5 linked regions of the Macaca mulatta genome follow. The protein of the gene in region 1 purifies or fractionates together with the protein of each later gene. This does not show direct contact. Links are inferred from orthologs where the notes say so. Each region holds a gene or a part of one and is shown in the gene's direction. Other genes may lie near its edges.

Region 1 (4,508 bases):
ATTTACCCGAAGTCAGCAGTGACACTGGATTAAACGCTCCTTGAGGGAAGGCACAGTGCTTGGTATTTATTCTCCCACCTTCTCTGGGTGATCAAACATTGACGGAAGAGGAAGGTAAATGAGTTCTCAAACAGTGAGAGGAAAAATGTCCTTAGGATCAGAGGAGAGCCTACAGCAGGGGCAATGGGGCTGAAGGTAAGAGCTCTTGTTGCAGAAGTTGGAAATTCTGCGGTTGCAATAAGTCTCCCCTTTCTCTTGGTTTTATTCACTCATCACTTCTTCTTCACACCTGGTACTCAGCTGACGTTGTTTTAAATATTAAAAAATAGAAAGCATTCCAGCTCACCCCAACCACTTAACTTCATTACTCTGTGATTTTTTTTTTTTTTTTTTTTTGAGACGGAGTGTCACGCTTTCGCCCAGGCTGGAGTGTAGTAGCGCGATCTCAGCTAACGGCAAGCCCCCGCGGGGTTCACGCGATTCTCCTGCCTCAGCCTCCCGAGTAGCTGGGATTACAGATGTGAGCCACCACACCTGGCTTGTTTTTGTATTTTTAGTGGAGACGGGGCTTTCACCATGTTGGCCGTGCTGGTCTCGAACTCCTGGCCTCAGGTGATCTGCCCGCCTGGGCCTCCCAAAGTGCTAGGATTACAGGCGTGTACCACCACGCCCGGCCCTTTGTGATTTTTTTTGAAGTGGCCTTTGCCTCACTCTTGAAGATGCCCATAATAATGGCTAAGGGGCTGTTGTATGGTTCTCATCGGCATTGTATGGTGATGAAGTCATTGAAAAAATATGCTGACCTGCATCTCTAATTTCATAAATACTAAATTTCACATAAACACTGGAAAGGCTCCTTGGACTCAATATGCCATTAAAAGTAATGTAAGTTTGCTTTTAGCCAAGAAGTGGGCCCAAGAAGGTACCCATCCACCTTTCTACGTTTCACAGTGCATCCATTTTCAAATTCAAATTATCCTATCCCAGTTCCTGCAACAAGGCAGGTACTCTGGCCTCCCAGTCTTTGCTTACACTGTTCTCTCGGCAGAAACACCCTCCCCTTCACCTCCTGGTTACATCCGCTCCTCCAAGATCTAGCTGAAAGGCCACCCGTGGCGACCTCTCCTAAAAGCCTTCCTGCATACTCTCTGGCAGAATGAATGACCTCAGTACTTGGCCTCGGACGCGTCTGCCTTGTGCTCCGGCTGCCGCCTTCCAGCCTAATCCATCTGGAGGACCAGCCTTCCTGGAGACTGAGGCCTCTTCCTCTCGGATTGCCCAGTGCTCTGCACGTAGTAGGTGCTTAGTAAACGCTCGCACTGGGTTTGGTCACTTTGTTCCCTTAATGCCGGGGCAGGTAGTGGAGCAGAGACGGCCCCGGCTGTCTTCCTTCTTGCCCGCCCGCAGGCAAAGCCCCCGGAGGCGCAGGACTAGCCGCGTGCCTTTCCCACCGCCCCCGCGGCGCGCACAGCCCAGTCACGGGCGCTGGAAATTCCGGCGCGTGCGGGCGCGCTGGGCAGGGCGGGGGCGGGAGAACCCGTGGAGTGAGCCTGTGACGTGAGGGGGCGTGGCACGGCGAGGCCCCGCCCCCTCTCCCTCGCCCTCTCTCGCGGGTCGGGGTTACATGGCGGCGACTGCGGCAAAGCGAGAGCCTCGGAGACGCCGCTGCTGCCAGCACAGCCGGAGACCTGAGCCGACACTGGGGGCTGTCCGCGGGTCCCGCACTCTCTCAATGAGTCGGAGAAATCCCGTGAGTGTGTGTGTGTACGTGTGCGGGGTGCGCCGGCGGGGCGGCTCGGGAGGGCGCCGCGGCGGGCCCGGCAGCGGCGGAGCCGGCTCCCTCCTCCATTGTGTGTGACCCTCCGGCGGCTGCCGCTCAACAAAGGCGCTTTTGTTTGGTCTGCCGCCCGCCCCCTGCTCGTCCGCTTGCCCGCTCTCTCGGGCCTGGCCGGCGCGTCCCCGCGCGGGCCGGCGGGCGGCGGGCCGGGGTCTCCGCGTGGGGCCGGCGAGGCGGCCAGTGGGCCCCTCCCACCCGGCACGCCCCTCGCCGGTCGCCCTGCCGGGCTGAGCCCGTTCCCTGGCCCCGCACGCCGGCTGCCGCCCCGCCACCTGCGCCCGGCTCCGCGGGTTCGAAACCCAGCCGGACCGGAGGGCGGGCGAGCGAGAGGCGGCGGCCCGGGGAACATGAGGTGGCGTGGAGTCTCGCCTTCCTGGCACTCTGCCTTTCGAAATGCTCCCGCGTCTCCTCCCCCGTCCCACCCGGTGACTCGGCCTCAGCTGACTCCGGCCGGGCAAAGTCTCCAGTGGCGTAGCGCGCAGCGCTCTCCCGGCTCGCCTCAGAGCCCTGAAGTCCGCCCAAGTTTTGAGTCTAGCCATGAATGAGGTACTGAAAACTCGGAGACGAAATTCCTAATTTCCTCCCCCGGCCCTGCAGTCTTGCCTTAGCTTCTTTCGGGACCTTAAGTGGTGTTCTGTGAAAGTGCCCAAATGAAAGCTTGTTTTGTCGGTTCACCAGAAAGGGCCTTGTCACTTTGCTGTGCATTTTAGTCCGCCTTGTGAGTTGTGTCGAAAAGTAAAGGTGTTTTGGCAACCTTTTGTTTATTGACGAGTGTAGGACCCAACCGGTTCAGGTGTTACGGGGGAGCTCTGTGCAGCAGGAGCTTCTCGATTCCTTTCCTGTTTTATTTTTTCTTTTGCTTGTTCATTGGAAAAGGTCCAGTGAAAGGGACTGGTGAGTTGGAATTAGAAGCCGACTTGTATTAACGTCGTAATTCATGTTCATTGCTAAAGATGCAGTCTAAGTAATGACTTTTTTTTTTTAATTTTAACGGATACAGATGATTTGTCAAGGGGAAAAATTAACATGCCGTACAATGAAGAGCAAGCAGCTTCAGAGTAATTTTCTGATGGCTGATTCTTCTAGCCTGTCTCTTACAGTTCCGATTGGGCATGTCCTCTCTCTTTAACGCTGGAAAACCGAGATGGAAAGAATGATCTGACCAGAAGAATGTAGGGTCCAAACAGGGCCTGGCCCTGAAATCAGGAATTTCTTCATAGAAATGTCAGATTTTAATTTTTAAAAAATAATTTTGAATTGGGTGAAAGAAACTTTGTCTTTAGATAGTAATTGTTCAAACATGTTTATGAAGTGTTTGCTATGTGCCAGGGAGTGTAAAGTCTTTTCACATATGTTACATCATTTATTAAGAATTGCCTTGTTAAGCGTGTCAAATTATTTATTGATGTCCTGAATTCAGTAATTGCAGTTAATCTAGAAAATATGCCAGATTTGAGCAGAACATATTTGATCACCTAGGTATTACTGTTCAGAAGAAAACACTGGAAAATGGAGAATATTTTAGGAAAAACTTCGTATATGAGGATATTTTGGAATTCAGTTATTTGCAAAAGAGGATTAGAAGTAGTCGTTGGCTACTTGTGATTAAAAAATCCAGAGAAGAGTGATCTGAAGTAAGTTAATTTTGCAATTAAAAAAATGCACTCATTCTAAAGACAAATGTTAGCACTAAAAGTGTTGCAGTGCTTTACATAAATTCATTTAAAGCATCGTGAGAATCAACTGACAAAATAGTAAGGTTTGCTGACTCAGGGTCCTTTGCTGAAGGGGATGGGGTCGGGTAGGAGGAAGCTTACAAGTGCTGCTGCAAGTTTTGAGTTGGATGATGACTCATGCTGCCCACGGACTGCTACGTGGCTTTTTTTTTTTTTAAATTGTATTTTTTTTTAAATGATAGGCTAAAATGTTCCTGTCCACATTGAAATTCTCTCTCATTTTTTTCTGAAGAGGAACAGCAGTTTCTATAAAGTAATGGCTTCTTAAATTGCATTTTAAAAGGATATCCTATACCCTACAGGTGGAATTGTGTAACGTTTGCTGAGAGGAAAGGTAAAACCAATTGCTGGTCAGGTGCTGAAATTAAATGTTTGATACTAACAGGTTTTTGGCTACTGCTGAGAGAGATTTGTTACAGGTTATTTATAAAGGACAGATAGTACTTTTATGGTGTCGTTAGAAATTGACCTTATATTTTTATTGGTTATGTGAGTTATCTTTATATTTAATATTTAATCAGATATGGCTCTGAATATGAAAGTTTCACTCTCATGGAATTATTAAAACATGATTATATGTTGTGCTTTGTGATTTATGTGAATTTTCTGTTTTAATAAAGACAATTTGAAATAGGTATTAGGCACTATTTTTCATTTTTTTTTAAGATAAGCTGAATGTACAGTTCCAAATTTAAAACTTTAAGTTGAAACTTGGTAATAAGATACATCTTTTGACTGATTTTAAAACAGGCAACGTTTAGCAAGTTGGCTTAAAATAAGATTGAGAGGGGGAAAAAGATTGAGAATGGCAGTTTAAGAGTGGGGCTGGGTGCGGTGGCTCACACCTGTAATCCCAGCACTTTGGGATTCCACTGAGGTGGAAGGATCGCTTGAGGCCAGGGGTTCAAGACCAGTATGGGCAACATAACAAAACC
Region 2 (2,666 bases), on another chromosome or scaffold:
CTGGTCCTTCCATGCATAAGAAAAGGCAGCATCCCAGGCCACATTCTGGGAGGTGCAGTATTCCCTCCCTGGCGGGGGGGTGGGGGGGGGGTGGGTAGCGAGCCTGGTTCTTCCCAGGAGGCTGTGATTATGGAGTAGTTCCTTCTTCCCCAGGTGCGGATAGATTTCCTAAACCGACAGTGGACATCTTCCCTTGTCCTGGGAGTCATCACCTGCGCGCCTGAGAGGCTCAACTTCCCTGCTTCTGCCTGTGCCCTCAAACGGGCAGCCTGGCTGCTGCGGGGCCGCGGGGTCTTCCACAACGGTCTCAAGGTGAGTAGGAGCCATAGAGAAGGGGCGGGACCAGGCTTGTGTGTAGGGAAGGGCTGGCCAGAAGGGAGAAGTGGGCCCCTAGCCTTGGAGGTAGGACCACAGGTGTAAAAGGGGGACAGTAATGGGCAGGCAAGGGTGAGTGGCGTTGCCTGGTCAGTTTTAGGCCTGCTGCTTCCTGCGGTGTCCCTGCCGTTGAGAATGTGCCAGTTTTGGGGAAGAGGAGGGGCTCTAGGTAACTGCAGCGGGAGGAGAGTCTCGGCAGCAGGCAAGCGTGGAGGCAAAGCCAAGGCGCTGGCAGCAGGAAGCAGAGCAAAGGGCAGGACGGCTGCTGTGGTGGAGTGTGACCTCTGGAAGACAGCCGGTCTCCCCTCCCAGATCTGTGAGAAGTTTGGGCCGAATCTGGACACGTGCCCTGAAGGCACCATCCTGGGACTGCGGCTGGACAGCTCTGGGGGGCTGCATCTCCACGTTAATGGGGTGGACCAGGGGGTAGCTGTACCAGATGTGCCCCAGCCCTGCCACGCGCTTGTGGACCTCTATGGGCAGTGTGAGCAGGTTAGTGGCAGTGGGGGCAGGGAGGAGGGGTGCCTAAGAGTCTGGGCCATCCAGGACGGGGAAGTCTCTGTTCCAGAATCATCAGGCCCTGGGGTCTGACCAAGCTGTCTGACTACCCTCTCCCCTGCAGGTGACAATCGTGAACCCTGAGCCAGGGGCTGCCAGTGGGAAAAGTGCTGGAACCCAAGGGGACATGGAGAAAGCAGACATGGTGGACGGTGTGCCAGCCCAAAGGGACCCCGCTCCTGCCCCTACTCCCCTGCCCCTACCCTTCTAGCCTAACTCCTGTGACCTGTGCCCCTCTGCTCCCTCAGGTATCAAAGAGAGTGTGTGCTGGGGCCCACCACCCGCCGCTAGTCCTCTAAAGAGCTGCGAGTACCATGCCCTTTGCTCTCGCTTCCGAGAACTCCTGCTGCTTCCTGGTGAGTCCCGGTCCCCAGAACCGACTTCATCCCCAGGGCCAGGCCCAGAGCCGTGGAGAGCAGCTGAAGGGTGCCAGTGTGGCTGAGATCAAGGGTGGGAGCCACAGCACCAAGCCTGCTACTTACTGTCCCGCAGAAGATTATTTCATGCCTCCGCCAAAGCGAAGCCTGTGCTACTGTGAGTCTTGCCGGAAGCTGCGAGGAGACGAGGCCCACAGGCGCAGAGGGGAGCCTCCCCGGGAATACGCACTGCCCTTTGGCTGGTGCAGGTTCAACCTCAGGTACATACGGGCAGGGTCATGCCTTTCCCCTACTGTTTTCCCCCTGGAGAAATGGAGATCCCAAGAAGGTGCATGGAAGAAGTGATAGAACTTCCTGCCTAAGGAAGAGCCTCGTGAAGCTCCTCCACTGGGGAGCCAGTGTCCTTCGTTCTATCTGCCCTGCTTGTCCACCTCGTAGAGTGAATCCCCGCCTGGAGGCTGGGACACTAACCAAGAAGTGGCACATGGCCTATCATGGGAGCAATGTTGCAGCTGTACGGAGAGTGCTGGACCGAGGGGAGCTGGGAGCAGGTACTGGGGAGCAGGCCCATGCAAGGTGGGCTGAGCCTGGGGGGCTGTGGAGGAATAAAAAGGGCTATCTTGACCCAGTTCTCCTCCCAGGTACTGCTTCCATCCTGAGCTGCCGTCCTTTGAAGGGAGAGCCTGGGGTAGGGTTCGAGGAGCCTGGCGAGAACTGTGCACCTCCTCGGGAGGAGCAGCCCCCTCCTGTGCTGCTTTCCCCCTCCCTTCAATATGCTGGGGCCGAGACCCTGGCCTCCAAAGTGCAGTGAGTACTGGGAGGGGTGGGGAGAGATCTCCAGGGGCTCGGATGAAGAGGGCCTGAGCGCAGCCACTGGGGTCTTCATGATTTGCCCTCCCCTTTTCTCACCTCCTCTTGCTAGCTGCCAGTCTCCAACTCAGCCCTTTTTTCATTCATTGAACAAATACCACTTATATACTCTTCTAGTGGGCAAGAAAAGGAACCTTGCTCTTGTGGAACCTCTGCCTTTTCTCTCTATAATGTTCATACATAATAAGTATTTATTATTTATTTATTTATTTTTGAGACGGAGTCCTGCTCTGTCATCCAGGCTGGAGTGCAGTGGCATGATCTCGGCTCATTGCAACCTCCACCTCCCGGGTTCAAGCGATTCTCCTGCCTCATTCTCCTGAGTAGCTGGGACTACAGGCGTGTGCCACCAAGCCCGGCTAATTTTTCTAGTAGAGATAGGGTTTTGCCATGTTGGCCAGGCTGGTCTCGATCTCCTGACCTCGTGAGCCACCCGCCTCAGCCTCCCAAAGCGCTGGGATTACAGGCGTGAGCCACCGTGCCCGG
Region 3 (4,523 bases), on another chromosome or scaffold:
CCCCCACGGATCCTATAAATCACATTCAATCCACTATGCCATAATTTAAATGTGTAAAAACTGTGCATCAGACTTTTATTGGATTAAACAACAAAGTATGGGAACTGGGCAAAAATGACATAGAGCTATCCAAGAGTCTCTGCTGTCGCTGGTTGAGAAGGATGCCAAGATCAAGGAGTTGATTCAGGTAACTAAGGGAATCTGAGGAAACATCGTTGCTTAACTGTAAAAACTAAATCAAACTACTTCATCCTCCTCAGAAGACCACAGCAAACATCCATCTTGCTCCTCTGTAGCCTGGATGGGGCAGACCCAGGTGTTAGGAGACGCACCTGGTCCGCTTCCGCCCACTAGGCCCTGGGCACCTCGGGGCTAGGGACAGAGGTTTGGAGCAACTCACCCCGGAGACTCCGTTGATACTGCCCCAGAATCTCCTCCAGGGTAGAGTTCTCCGGGGACTTCGCCATGCACACACTCTAGGCCCAGAGCTGGGAGTTACGTGGGGAAATGTCCAGCTTTCTCCCTTCCGAAAACAGCAGGCCTGTGGCCGCGGAGCGCCGGCCTGCTTCCTGCCGCGGCTGTCACAGGGGAGCCTAGAATCCCGCACGAAGCTCGTGGGGGCTCTTCCCACCCACTGGCCCTCGCGTTGGACCTCGGGAGTTGTAGTCCTCATGTTCAGCGCCTCCAAGCTCGACAATCTTTAGAGCCTTCCAGCTACACTACAATTCCCAGAGACCACTGCGCACCAAGCGCTAGCTCGGACGGTTGGGCTGCCAGAGCCTGTTGCCAAGAGACAGGCTTGCAGGCCCCGCCCTTTTCCTCCAGCCCAGCCTGGTTTAGTCCCGCCTCCATCCCGCTCTTCTGCCGCCTGGACCACCCCAAATGACAGAAAGGGTTCACTGAAGGCCTTGACGCTTCGAATTTGCTAATATGCAGCAGTTGATCCCTAGGTTACTCAAGGACGCAGAGAGGAACCTCTGAACCCTGCTTCGGTTGCGGTATTTTTTTTAACGGTCGAATAAATCCTCAAGAAATAGAAGCTCTAAATCCTCCAAACAGCCTAAATTGTAAAGGCGGCCGACACTACAACTCCTAGCATGCCCAGTAACCGGACCTCCACTTGGAGTTGGCGCTCTGCCCGCTGGGAACTGTAGTCCTTGTTGGTTGCGGTCCCACCTAACTCCGAGGTCCTCTTCATTGTTCTAGCTGGTCTTTCGGGGCACGCCTGCGCAGTGGGCAAGCTGGAAAAACGTGTGGGTGAGACCCTCGCACAACCCCTTTTCATTGTCTGTGTCTGGCGCCTGCGCAGTAAGGAATCGTTGGAACTGGGCAGGAGGAGGGGATAGGGTCCGGCTCCTCGCCCTTTCCCGAGGCGCCTGCGCACTAGGCAGCCGCTCTTTGCCGTTACCGCTATGTGTGGGGCGTGTGTGGAATAACGTTATTGCCCAGCGGAGCTGAGGGCCCCGGAGCTCGACCGCAGCGGCAGCGACGACAACAGCGGCGGCGACGACGACGAGGTGGGGGGAGGACGGCGTGCGAGAGACTCACGGGACGCGACGCGCCCCGCCTCCCCCGTCCGGTCCCTCTCGCCACTGTGAGGGGTAAGTGATGCGATCGGCTGCTCGGTGTAGGCGCCGCAGCCGCCGCCGCGGCTGCTTTTCCACGTCCTGCTCCTCGGGTTTGCAGCGAGGACTCGGGCGCGGCCCGCCGCGGGGCGGGGGTGCGGGGCTGCGGGGCTGGACCGCGAAGGGGGCGCTTCCCGGATGCTCCGCGCGGCGCCGCCACCCCCACCCTCTGCCCGCCCAGGACCGGGGTCTGGACGGGACCACCCTTCCCATCCCCCACCCGCCGCCCTCGGGAGCTCCAGTCCTGCGGCCCCCCGGCTTTCCCGAGTCCCTTGCCGCCGCCTCCGCGTCCCCTAAGTGCATTGACTCATTTTCAGCTTTCTCCTGGCTTTGTGCAGCCCTCCCCCTTCCGCCGTAGCAGTTTGCGAGGGGTGCGGGCGGAGCATTGGAGGGAATGGCTGCGCTGTCGCTGGGGAAGGGATTTTTCCCCGATTGGAGCAGTTCCGCGGGCCGATCCCTTTTGTGTGGTTGGTTTTGAGGTGTGAGGCCGTTGGCGAGGTCAGGCGAGGAGCCTTTTGGACGCGTTGGGAGGGCGTGGAAGACGCGCTGTCATGCACCCTGCCAGGCGACTGCACCCCGCGGAGGCTCTGGCTCCGTAGTAAACCCGGGGGAGGAGAGAGTGGCTTCCTGTCGGCTTCATTGTCCTAGGATTCAAATATAGGGTTTTGGTACGTTTCGCTTCCATTTTATGCAAGCGATGAAAAAATAACATTTGCAGCTGCCTAACACAGGGCGGGAAGACGTGGGATTTGTCTACTAAGTCACAGAATCTCTGTTCAGTGGCGTTTCGTAGAGTTTTATTTATTTATTTAATTTATTTTTGAGGAATGTAAGGGAGACAGGGACTATGCCTGCTGGAGTCCAAGCACTGCCAAGGTGATCAATATAAAATTACTAGGTGACATTGGAGCCTGGGCTGGAGAGGGCCTGACAACGAAGCTGTTGTGTCAGGGAAATGAACCAGCAGAATTGTTTTTTCAATGGGCGGGTAATGCATTTATGTTCCTGAGGGAATAGATACATCTTTCCGTTTTATTTTTTAAGCAAGTAGAACAAACAAAACAACTGGCCCAGGTCATTTCTGTTTCCGAAGTTGTTACCTCATTTTTATTGTATTAATGAAAATTTAGCCATTTGGGAGGAATTTGGCGAAGCAGATGATACATTTGATTGAAAATGCATCTTTTAAAACGATTTCATCCTCAAGTTTACAATGGATACAGCCGTTTGCTGGCGTTGCTTCTTAAAACACACCAGAAGAGAGGATAACGCAGGATGGGGAGGAGCAGGTGGAGGAATAATGGGAGAGGAGAGAGTGACATTTTGACTATAGTATCTGGATCTTCACTGGTATAACCCTAGCTGGGTATGCTTCAGAGACTTAGGAATTCAGCTCTGGAAACAGTACACTGATGAATAGCAAGTTACGTATTTTTCTGTCATTATTTTTTAAAAAGTAAAACTAGGGCTGCCTTTAGCTCTTCCTAACTTTGTAGGTAACACGGAAGAGCCCAAGTGCACTTGACAGAGGAAGACACTAAAACTCAGAAAGTTAACTGACTTGTCTGCCCAAGCCAGACTGTTAATGGAAGGCAGAGCCAAATGAAACTCAAGGTCCATTCTGCAGAGTGATCTTTCCTGTGTCCCCCCAGCCCTTTTACCCTGTGAAAATGTATGGAAAGCTTCTTTACGCTCTCCTTGAGCAGGCTGTGACTATCACTGAACTTGATTCTCACCGTTATTAATCAAGTTCTTGCCTCTGCGATGTAAAAGTAGTAATTCTTCTGAAATGGACCTTTAGTTGTATAAAGTAACTTACTAAATGAGGAAAGATGTCCTAACATGTGCTTTTCATAAAAACGAAGTGTTGCAGTGTTTTCCCTACTACTTAATGGTAGGTTTTAGTATTATTTCTTGAAAATCAATAGTATTTTATAATAATATGATGATCAACTCTATAGGCTGTGTTAAAAATAAAATTTCTGCATAACAAGAGCCTGTGATGTTTATTTTACCACAGTTAATGAGTTGTAATCATTAATGAGTTATTAGTGATTACTTTCAACTTAAACTAGAATTTACATTTTAAGATATATTGACTTTGTTTTTTATTGGGTTGATTTTGCCATAAAGTGCTCTTTTCTTGCCTTATAATTTTAATCGTTTAATTTTATGTTGCATTTTAATAGACTTCTTTAAAGGATTTATTATTTATCTTAAATTTCAACTTTAAAAAATGTGTAACTAAATTTCAGTGTGTGGAATTATATTCAATCATGCTTTAAATGTATTTTACTGGTAAATTTCATTGTGTTCTGAGATTATTTTGTATGGAAATAATCTGCCTGTTCCCTATTTTAACATTAGAATAGTGAAATTTATACTGTAAACCTTAGCATACATTCTGCATATTAATGCTGCTATGGTACTTTTTAAAATTCTGTGCTTCGTGATTTGTTTGATTTGTTCTAAGTATCAGTTTCTTGTTCCTTTTTATCTACTGAAAAAAAGAACTAGTTTTATTATTGTATCTGATTGCAATTAGATAATGCTCATCTAGTACTAAATATTGTATATGCTTAAGTTTTTTTGTCAAAATTTTTTTATTCCACAAAATTCTATTCCTGAAAAATATTTTTTCTATACTAATTAATATGTAAAGACTTTTCTTTCTTATCTGTCCCAAACACTGGGATGTTAAGCAGTGTACTTTTCAACTAAGTATCTGACAGACAACCTGATATTTAATTGCTAACTAAAATATCTGTACAGTTGCAAATTATTCTGGAAGTATAACAAAAGAGCAGTTACATGCCATTTGAAGAATGCTTGGTGAGTAGATAATATTGACTGAAGCATTCAATATTGATCTGTTTCATTAAGAAATGGGATACTTTT
Region 4 (4,667 bases), on another chromosome or scaffold:
ATATCTGGAGAGGCCGGGTGTGGTGATTCACGCCTGTAATCCCAACAGTTTGGGAGGCCGAGGCGGGTGAATCACCTGAGGTCAGGAGTTTGAGACCAGTCTGACCAATCTCTACTAAATACAAAAAATTTAGCCAGGCCTGGTGGCGCATGCCTGTAATCCCAACTACTCGGGAGCCGGAGACAGGAGACTCACTTGAACCCGGAGGTGGAGGTTACAGTGAGCCAAGATTGTGACATCACACTGCAGCCTATGCAACAAGAGGGAAACTCCATCTCAAAAACAAAAACAAAAAAACAAAAAAATATATCTGGAGAAAGGCTTTGGGATAAGCCCAAATTGTTCTACTTGACTTTCGGTGTTGCCCTACCTACACTATTAGCCAGATCTATCTGATGAAACTTACTGCTAAAGTTACTTGAGACTTGGATTCTGCTCACCTGCAAGCCTCATGTCTTTGGGGAATTCACCAGGTTAATCTTTCTGGGTCTCAGTTCCCACATCAGCTCAACAGGGCAATATGCTCAACAGGGCAATTTCCACATCAGCTCAAAAGGGCAATATCGTTTTCCTTACAGGGTTGTCCAAAGACTTACAATTAGCCTGGCTCACTATCGATGGTCCACAAGTGTCAGCTACCTAATACTAAAACGCCTAGGCATGCTTGGATAGGACAACTTGGGCACAGAATTTAGAGGGGTGGTTTTGTTTTGTTCTGTTTTGTTTTTTGGTTCTCTGGGAACTGGACAAGGTGACACAGCCAAGGCCCTTCCAACTCTTAAGAATTCTTCCCCAAAGAAAATACTTTGCATATGCCTCAGCAGAACTCAAAAATATCCACGAACTCTTAACTGACACTAAAAAGTTGCATACTCCAAAAATCACTTCTGATTCCCAGGTGTCCTACCAGGTCTGCAAATCTTCGATTTGGGGGTGCATGACCTAGCTGCTCTTAAGCATACGCCCTCAATTGTTACCCCATCTCCCGGCTCACGGCTGGCCCTCGGGATGCAGCGACCCCTCCTCGCCAGGCTCCGCGGGACTCCGGGAAGGGCACTCAGTGCTCCGGCAACGGCAGGGTTCGCATTGCTGAGGTCCGCCCAGAGAACAGCCGCGCCTCCAGCTCGCAGTTCCTCCGAGCCAGGCCCGGGAGCATTTGTGCCCCGCCCCACGCGCCGCGTAGGTCCTCCCCGGATCACCGTCCCCGCACCCCGCGCCCTTCCTCCACTCCCGGGTGATACCTCGCCTCGCTCTGGCTCCGCCCCCGCATCTCAGTCCCGGATCCTGACCGCCTAGAGACCCCGCCCCGCCCACGCCCCTACCCCCGGCCCCACCCCCGAGCCCCCGCAGCCCCAGAGCCGCCCACGGGCTACTGACGCCGAAAGCGGCCAGGCTACGTTCTCAGCCTGGCCCCGCCCCAACCCTGGCCCCGCCCATGCCCCAGGCTCCTGCCTGGGCTCTGCTCTCGGCCCCGCCCCGCACCCAAGCCCCGGCCCCACCCCCAAACCTCCGCAGCCCGCGAGCCCAGGCCCCGCCCCCGAGCCCCGGCCCCGCCCCTGAGCCGCCCACCGGGTAGCGATGGCGCACTTGGCCTGGAGACTTGCACAGCGTTGGTGTCCGAGGTAAGCTTGGAGCCCCGGCCTCCCGGCCCAAGGTCTCCCGCAGGATACCGCTGTCCAGGCGAAGGTCATCGCCGTTGGAAGACCCTCCTTCCCTATTGTCTAGGTGGCAACAGGACTTTCTTTGCTGGTTTTCCAGGGAGGCAGTACTAAAGGATAACCACCTCACTCGCGCGCCCTCCTGCACCGATGGGCCCAGAGGGGTCAGGATGGGCGCGTCGGGAGGTCAGGGCTATGGTTCTCTGTCCGCAGTCCCCGAGGTCTCCGCCTGCGTTCGCGCACACTCCCATCCTCCGGGGGCCGGACTCCGGGCGGGTGAGCCGCCCCAGCTGGGCACGGTGGTTCCCCGGACACCCGGGCCTGCACTTCCCAGCCGGGCTGCCTCTGGGGTGCAAAGCGTTGCTTGCTAAAAGCGAGGTAAACGCAAGCCGTTACCACTCGTGTGGACTTAACACTCTTTGCCCTTTGGAGAACTCGTATGCTATAAAGTGAAATGGCCGGGTACGCAGTCACGGCTAAGCAGCACGCTCCACGTCCCAGGGGTCCCGGGAACCCCGCACGAATCTGTGTGTAGGGAACAAAACCGAAACACGGTGGTGGCCTTGAAGTGGTAAAATTATTAGTGATTTTCCCGACTTTATGTATTTCTTAAATGGTCGTGTTTTTGCTATTTGTTTTTAAAACTCACGCTTTATTTAAAAATAAATAATTTGTTCCACATTTTGTGGAAACTTGACGTTTCTTCTTTTTGTGGACATTTTAAATTTTTCTTTCGTTTTCTACTTGGAATTTGCCATATAAGATGCAGTTTTTCCCTTTACAGAAAATCATTTTAATATAAAACTTACTGTAGGCTGATCTTACTGAATCAGTTACTAATAGTCCAAAGTTTGAACCTAGAGTTCATTGTACCATTTTCGAGTTACGTAATTGTGTTTGTGTGTGAGGTTTGGGCTTTGTAACCTGTATTATTTTAATCATCTTTGATGCCATTAACTCTACTATTCCGGGTCATCGTCGTGAACATCCATTTTTTGCTTGTGGCCTGCCTGAGTCCTGTGCATTGAAGTTTGCCACCCCACCCCCGCTCACTATGTGTGCTTAAAAACCTGCTCGTCACCCCGCGGTGGTTACTGTTTCTGCTCTGTTCCTGGCTGGCTGGTTAAACATCCCCACAAAAGGAGGCACGCCTGCTGAGCCTCCTCCTTCACTGACTCCCTTCCACTGCAGGTAGATTCCCTCCCATCTGCTGAGAAGGCTGTGGCTCTGTCTGGAATGCCAGCAACTGTTCCTATGCCCTTTTGAATATTTCTTGTATATTCACATCCATTCTCCCTTCCTTCCACCTGTGTGTATGTTGGAAACCGGTTTTCCAGCAAAGAGACAAGAATTGACCTGATATAGTTTATGGCTTATCAGTGAGTGCAGAGGCTGTTTCAGGACTTTGGGACACGTTACAAAATTCTGTGCACTTTAGCTTTTTGGTCTCTTGCTGTTCACTGTCTTGCATGCGCTTCACTTCTTGCTTTTGGCAAAATTTACATGGTATTCCTGTTCTGGCTGTTTTTATCTTAAATTGCTTACAAATACTTCCCTGGATGGTTATTTACTTTTCCATTTATTTAAAGTTAGTACTGTTAGCTTCCGTATTGAGTTACTATCTTGGAATCCTTACAGCCAATTATTTGCAGCCAGTTTGCAGAGGCAAGTATAAAGAAAATATGGACAAACATAGCATTTTAGTATGTATGGGTTGGGAACAATTAGAAATCAGGCTGCAGAAATGTGAGGGTTGGGAACATATAGAAATCAGTCTGCCTAATTGTAGTTCTCTGCAGGTCATTAGTTTCCCAGTAGTTCAGCTGCACCTGAATAGAACAGCAATGAGAGCCAGTCAGAAGGACTTTGAAAATGCAATGAATCAAGTGAAACTCTTGAAGAAGGATCCAGGAAATGAAGTGAAGCTAAAACTCTACTCACTGTATAAGCAGGTAAATGCCTACGGTCTGACATTTAAATAATTTTAGGCAAATGACTCCTTAAGTAGATAAACTGTGTGTTTACTAAAATGTAGCCTTAATATTTTGGGTTTGTCTTGCTCCCTCTTAAGTGTGTGTGTGTGTGTGTGTGTATATATATATGTGTGTGTGTGTGTATATATATGTATGTATGTATATGCGCGCAAGTTTTTTAATATTAGACCTTGAAATATTATCAAGGCACAAAGTGCCTCAGTGTCATGCCAGAGTAAAAGAGACTTACGAGATATAATATTCACATTTGTAGACCTTATTTAGCTCTTGATTAGAATAAATCAATTGAAAAAGGTATTTTTAAGATAATTGGGGAAGTTTTGAATAAGGTCAGAGTGTTAGAAGATACCTAGAAATCATTGTTAATGGTGTCAAGGTTATATAAGAAAATGTTGATATTTTTAAGAAGTGCATACTAAAGGATATAGGGGTGAAACAATGGATAGTTGAAGTTCTCTAAGCAAAAAAAGAAAGAAAGGGATAGATGAGGCCAGGCATGGTGGCTCACTTCTGTAATCCCAGCACTTTGGGAGGCTGAGGCGGGCAGATCCCTTAAGGTCAGGAGTTTGAGACCAGCCTGGCCAACATGGTTAAACCTCGTCTCTACTAAAAATACAAAAATTAGCTGGACGTAGTGGCGTGCACCTGTAATCCCAGCTACTTGGGAAACTGAGGCAGGAGAATCGCTTGAATCAGGTTGCAGTGAGCCAAGATTGCGCCACTACACTCCAGCCTGAGTGACAGAGCAAAAACTCTGTCAAAAAAAGAAAAAAAGAAAAGAGAGAGAGATGAAGCAAGTAAGGCAATTTGATCGTTGTTGAAACTGGATGATGGGTATTGGGAATTCATTATCGTATTCTACTTTGGTATGTTTGGAAATGTTTATAACAAAATGTAAAACCTAAAGCTTTGAAGTTTCAATGCCAAAGACTTCCCCGACGTATCTGCCTCTCTGGGCTCCTGTGTTATCTGTTTTTCTGTGCTATGATGGGTATGAGCTTCTCTTTCATATGGG
Region 5 (4,465 bases), on another chromosome or scaffold:
ATATGCCGTATTCTGTGCATGTCCAGCATGTCCAGCTATACTTTTTTTTTTTTTTTAAGACAGAGTCACTCTCTCACCCAGCCTGAAGTGCTGGAGCGCAGTGGCATGATGTTGGCTCACTGCAACCTCTGCCTCCTGGGTTGAAGCAATTCTTCTGCCTCAACCTCCCAAGTAGCTGGGATTACAGGCACCTAACACCACGCCCCGCTAATTTTTTTTTTTCTTTGAGACCAAGTCTCTCTCTGTCTCCAGGCTGGACTGCAGTGGCGCTATCTAGGCTTACTGCAAGCGCCGCCTCCCAGATTCACACCATTCTCCAGCTTCAGCCTCCTAAGTAGCTGGGACTACAGGCGCCCGCCAACACGCGCGGCTAATATTTTGTATTTTTAGTGGAGACGGGGTTTCACCGTGTTAGCCAGGATGGTCTCAATCTGCTGACGTGATGCACCCGCCTCGGCCTCCCAAAGTGCTGGGATTACAGGCGTGAGCCACCGCTCCCAGCCAGCAGTTTTAAAGTACTTTTTATGCCTTCGGATAGCTGGCTTTTACCAAGGGAGTTTCGCTTTTTTTTTTTTTTTTAAGAACATGAACTTTTTTTTTTTTTTGAGACGGAGTCTTGCTCTGTCACCCAGGCTTGAGTGCAGTGGCGCAATCTCTGCTCATTGCAATCTCCGCCTCCTGGGCTCAAGCCATTCTCCTGCCTCAGCCTCCCGCTGGGATTACAGGTGCCGGACACCGCACCCAGCTAATTTTTGTATTTTTACTAGAGACGGGATTTTGCCATGTTGACCAGGCTGGTCTTGAACTCCTGACCTCCCGCCTGCCGCGGCCTCCCAAAGTGTATTACAGGCGTGAGCCACGCGCCGGCCTAAGAATATGAACTCTGGAACCATGTAATCCTACTTTAGCCCTTCTGAAGCCCAGAGACCTTGAACCTCGTGTCTTCCCGTGCCTGAGTCAGTTTCCTCTGCATATAGTGGGAAACAGTACGACCTCCCGGTGGGAGTTCATATACAGTCAGCGCTTAATGTTGGCTCGTCTGTACTCATTCCTTTACGTGGGTAAACTCACAGTAATGCAAGTTTTATTTTTAGTTAACATGATATATACACATGCATGATGACAAGCTCTGCTGCCATTATGTCCTTGGACGTTTCAGCTGTCGCCAATTATTCCACCATTATGAAACAGCGGTGTCATGAACTTTAGCAGGAGCTATTTTCTTTTCCTTTTTGGACTGAGTCTCCCAAGCTGGAGAGCTGGAGAGCAATGGCTCTATCTCGGCTCACTGCAAGCTCCGCCTCCCGGGTTCACACCGTTGCAGGAGCTATTTTCTCAGGCCAGGTTCCCACTGGGGCAAAGGGTCCTTTTCTGAGCTTGGCTCTAACTATGTAAGGCAACCGGAACTCGGCTGCCCTTAGTAAAGATGGCGGGGAGAACGGCGTCTTTGCCTGTCAGGCTGCGGCATCGGTGCCCTCGCTCAACATGGCGGCCGTTTGTGCCCGCCCCTTCCGCTAACTGGTGGGTTACTCGGTCCCAACGCCGTAGATGAAGGCGGCGGCGATGGCGGCGGGGATAGTGGCTTCTCGCAGACTCCGCGACCTACTGAGCCGGCGTGAGTCACCTCTTGACTTATGGTGGTGTATCGCGCTGTCGTGCTGTTATAGCAGCTGTAGGACGGGGAGGCCCATCCGGGGTCACGAAGGGCCCGAGTCCCCTAAATTCAGGGGTGCGTGTGCTCCCTTTTGAAGGGCTCCCTAATTCTATAGGCCTGTGTCTTGGAGTCTGGGGTCATCAAAGGCTCTTCCTTTCTCCGCAGGATTGACAGCCTCCAACTACTCGGGCCTCAGTATTAGCCTTCGCCTCACTGGCTCCTCTGCACAAGAGGAAGCCCCAGACCACAGCTATGAGTCCCTTCGTGTGACATCTGCGCAGAAACACGTTCTGCATGTCCAGCTCAACCGGCCCAACAAGAGGAATGCCATGAACAAGGCCTTCTGGAGGTGTGACCTGCAGATCCTGGAGGCCTGCCTGCTGGGGGAGGCGGGGGCTGCGGGACTGAGCCAGAGTGGAACCTTGTGGGGAGATGGACATGAGGGCAGGGTATTCCCACCCCATTTGTAGCCCTTCACTCGTTGCTTCACAGAGAGATGGTAGAGTGCTTCAACAAGATTTCGAGAGACGCTGACTGTCGGGCGGTGGTGATCTCTGGTGCAGGAAAAATGTTCACTGCAGGTACCAGACGCTCTTCACACACCCTACCAGCCTTCCCAGCTCCTGGCAATAGACAGTGGAGCAGTGCTTCTTAATTAGGATTTTAAGCAGCTTCTAACTTACACTTTTTTTGCTGTTCGTTTTGTTGTGTTTGTTTGTTTTGAGGCAGGGTCTTGCTCTGTTGTCAGTCTGGAGTGCAGTGGCGCAAACTCAGGTCACTGCAACCTCTGCCTCCCGAGTTCAAGCAATTCTCCTGCCTGGGACTACAGGCGCGGGCCACCACGCCCAGTTAATTTTTGTGTTTTTAGTAGAGACGAGGTTTCGCCATGTTGGCCAGGATGGTCTCGCTCTCCTGACCTCATAATCTGCCTGCCTCAGCCTCCCAAAGTGCTGGGATTATAGACGTGAGCCACCACTCCGACCCCTAACTTACAGTTTTATCTGTTTTTTGTGTGTGTGTGGTTTTTTTTTTTGGGAGACAGGATCTTGCTCTGTCACCCAGGTTGGAGTGCAGTGGCCTAATCATAAATCACTGTAACCTCAAATACTTGAGCTCAAGCCATCCTCCCACCTCGGCCTCCCAAAGTGCCAGGTTTACAGGCAGGTGCCACCAGCCCTATCATTTTTTTTTTTTAAAGGCCTAATTTAAAACATTCAAATATGAAAATTAGTCCAACAGAACATGACGGGATCATAGGCTCTGAAGTCTGGGTTTCCATCCTGGATCTATGGCCATGAAGAACATGCTTAACCTCTCAGTCTATAGCTGTGTCAGCATATAATATAATAACATGCTTTCATGCAACTCTGCAACTCACTCATTGATTTCCAGTTACAGGTCAGTTGGATCTTTGGATTGACCCACTGACCTGTTCTTCAGATGGGAGAATTTCCACTGATCACAGTTACTGACTCTTTCCTCATCTCTGTCCTCCTGTAAAGCCCACCCAGATTTTTTCGTTTTGTTTTGTTTTGTTTGAGACAGAGTTTCGCTTTTGTTGCAATGGCGCAATCTCAGCTCACTGCAACCTCTGCTTCCTGGGTTCAAGTGATTCTCCTGCCTCAGCCACCCGAGTAGCTGGGATTACGGGCGTCTGCCACCACGCCCAGCTAATTTTTTGTGTTTCTAGTAGAGATGGGGTTTTACCATGTTGGCCAAGCTGGTCTAAAACTCCTGACCTCAGGTCATCCATCCGCCTAGGCCTCCCAAAGTGCTAGGATGACAGGTGTGAGCCACTGCGCCCAGGTACCACCCACTGATTTTAAATTTCAGATATTGTAGTTTTCAATTCTCCAATTCCCATTTGGTTCATTATTTATTTATTTATTTTGAGACAGAATCTCGCTTTGTCACCCAGGCTGGAGTGCAGTGACACAATTCTGCTCATTGCAACATCTGCCTCCTGGGTTCAAGCAATTCTCCTGCCTCAGCCTCCTGCGTAGCTGGGATTACAGGTGCCTGTCACCAGGCCTGGCTAATTTTTTTTTTCTTTTTTGTAGAAGGACTCTCACTCTGTTGACTAGCCTGGAGTGCAGTGGCACAATCTCGGCTCACTGCAACCTCCACCTCCCAGGTTCAAGCCATTCTCTTGCCTCAGCCTCCCGAGTAGCTGGGATTGCAGGCAACCGGCACCATGCCCGGCTAATTTTTATATTTGTGGTAGAGACAGGTTCTCACTGTTTTCGCCAGGCTGGTCTTGAACTCCTGGCCTTCAGTGATCTGCCCACTTCAGCCTCCCAAAGTGCTGGGATTACAGGAGTGATCCATTGTACCTGGTCATTTATTTATTTTTTGTCATGCATGTTTTTTTTTTTTTTTTTTGTGAGACGGAGTCTCGCTGTGTCACCCAGGCTGGAGTGCAGTGGCCCGATCTCGGCTCACTGCAAGCTCCGCCTCCCGGGTTTACGCCATTCTCCTGCCTCAGCCTCCGAGTAGCTGGGACTACAGGCGCCCGCCACCACGCCCGGCTAGTTTTTTGTATTTTTAGTAGAGACGGGGTTTCACCATGTTAGCCAGGATGGTCTCGATCTCCTGACTTCGTGATCCACCCGCCTCGGCCTCCCAAAGTACTGGGATTACAGGCTTGAGCCACCGCGCTCGGCCTCATGCATGTTTTTCTTCCTGCCATTGAGCATAGTTATAATGACTGATTTAAAATCCTTGTCTTCTGGCCGGGCGCGGTGGCTAACACAGTGAAACGCCATCTCTACTTAAAAAAAAAAAAAAAAAATCTGGGCGCCGTGGCTCACG

Evidence for each region.
Region 2: the proteins of MAPK6 (region 1) and NEURL4 purify together in Homo sapiens (affinity purification with mass spectrometry; 6 studies listed by BioGRID and IntAct, counting the BioPlex papers as one, with this or other methods). This does not show direct contact. The link is inferred for Macaca mulatta from reciprocal best matches to the Homo sapiens genes MAPK6 and NEURL4.
Region 3: the proteins of MAPK6 (region 1) and CEP170 purify together in Homo sapiens (affinity purification with mass spectrometry; 3 studies listed by BioGRID and IntAct, with this or other methods). This does not show direct contact. The link is inferred for Macaca mulatta from reciprocal best matches to the Homo sapiens genes MAPK6 and CEP170.
Region 4: the proteins of MAPK6 (region 1) and ECI2 purify together in Homo sapiens (affinity purification with mass spectrometry; 3 studies listed by BioGRID and IntAct, with this or other methods). This does not show direct contact. The link is inferred for Macaca mulatta from reciprocal best matches to the Homo sapiens genes MAPK6 and ECI2.
Region 5: the proteins of MAPK6 (region 1) and ECH1 purify together in Homo sapiens (affinity purification with mass spectrometry; 3 studies listed by BioGRID and IntAct, with this or other methods). This does not show direct contact. The link is inferred for Macaca mulatta from reciprocal best matches to the Homo sapiens genes MAPK6 and ECH1.

The regions. Positions count from the first base shown.
Region 1 is NC_133412.1:29,311,865-29,316,372, forward strand, and holds the start of MAPK6 (mitogen-activated protein kinase 6), read left to right. Parts: upstream 1-1,594; 5' UTR 1,595-1,764; intron 1,765-1,965; exon of another isoform or gene 1,966-2,383; intron 2,384-2,633; exon of another isoform or gene 2,634-2,731; intron 2,732-4,508. UniProt on the Homo sapiens protein: Atypical MAPK protein. Phosphorylates microtubule-associated protein 2 (MAP2) and MAPKAPK5.
Region 2 is NC_133421.1:8,811,111-8,813,776, reverse strand, and holds part of NEURL4 (neuralized-like protein 4), read left to right. Parts: intron 1-153; coding exon 154-312; intron 313-670; exon of another isoform or gene 671-687; coding exon 688-867; intron 868-997; coding exon 998-1,085; intron 1,086-1,181; coding exon 1,182-1,289; intron 1,290-1,425; coding exon 1,426-1,570; intron 1,571-1,748; coding exon 1,749-1,861; intron 1,862-1,951; coding exon 1,952-2,117; intron 2,118-2,666. UniProt on the Homo sapiens protein: Promotes CCP110 ubiquitination and proteasome-dependent degradation. By counteracting accumulation of CP110, maintains normal centriolar homeostasis and preventing formation of ectopic microtubular organizing centers.
Region 3 is NC_133406.1:5,892,807-5,897,329, forward strand, and holds the start of CEP170 (centrosomal protein of 170 kDa), read left to right. Parts: upstream 1-1,380; 5' UTR 1,381-1,601; intron 1,602-4,523. Other genes in the region: SDCCAG8 (serologically defined colon cancer antigen 8), read right to left, coding at 401-467.
Region 4 is NC_133409.1:179,094,145-179,098,811, forward strand, and holds the start of ECI2 (enoyl-CoA delta isomerase 2), read left to right. Parts: upstream 1-1,558; 5' UTR 1,559-1,578; coding exon 1,579-1,622; exon of another isoform or gene 1,623-1,725; intron 1,726-3,447; coding exon 3,448-3,610; intron 3,611-4,667. UniProt on the Homo sapiens protein: Able to isomerize both 3-cis and 3-trans double bonds into the 2-trans form in a range of enoyl-CoA species. Has a preference for 3-trans substrates.
Region 5 is NC_133424.1:49,920,844-49,925,308, reverse strand, and holds the start of ECH1 (delta(3,5)-Delta(2,4)-dienoyl-CoA isomerase, mitochondrial), read left to right. Parts: upstream 1-1,544; 5' UTR 1,545-1,548; coding exon 1,549-1,615; intron 1,616-1,819; coding exon 1,820-2,003; intron 2,004-2,146; coding exon 2,147-2,235; intron 2,236-4,465. UniProt on the Homo sapiens protein: Isomerization of 3-trans,5-cis-dienoyl-CoA to 2-trans,4-trans-dienoyl-CoA.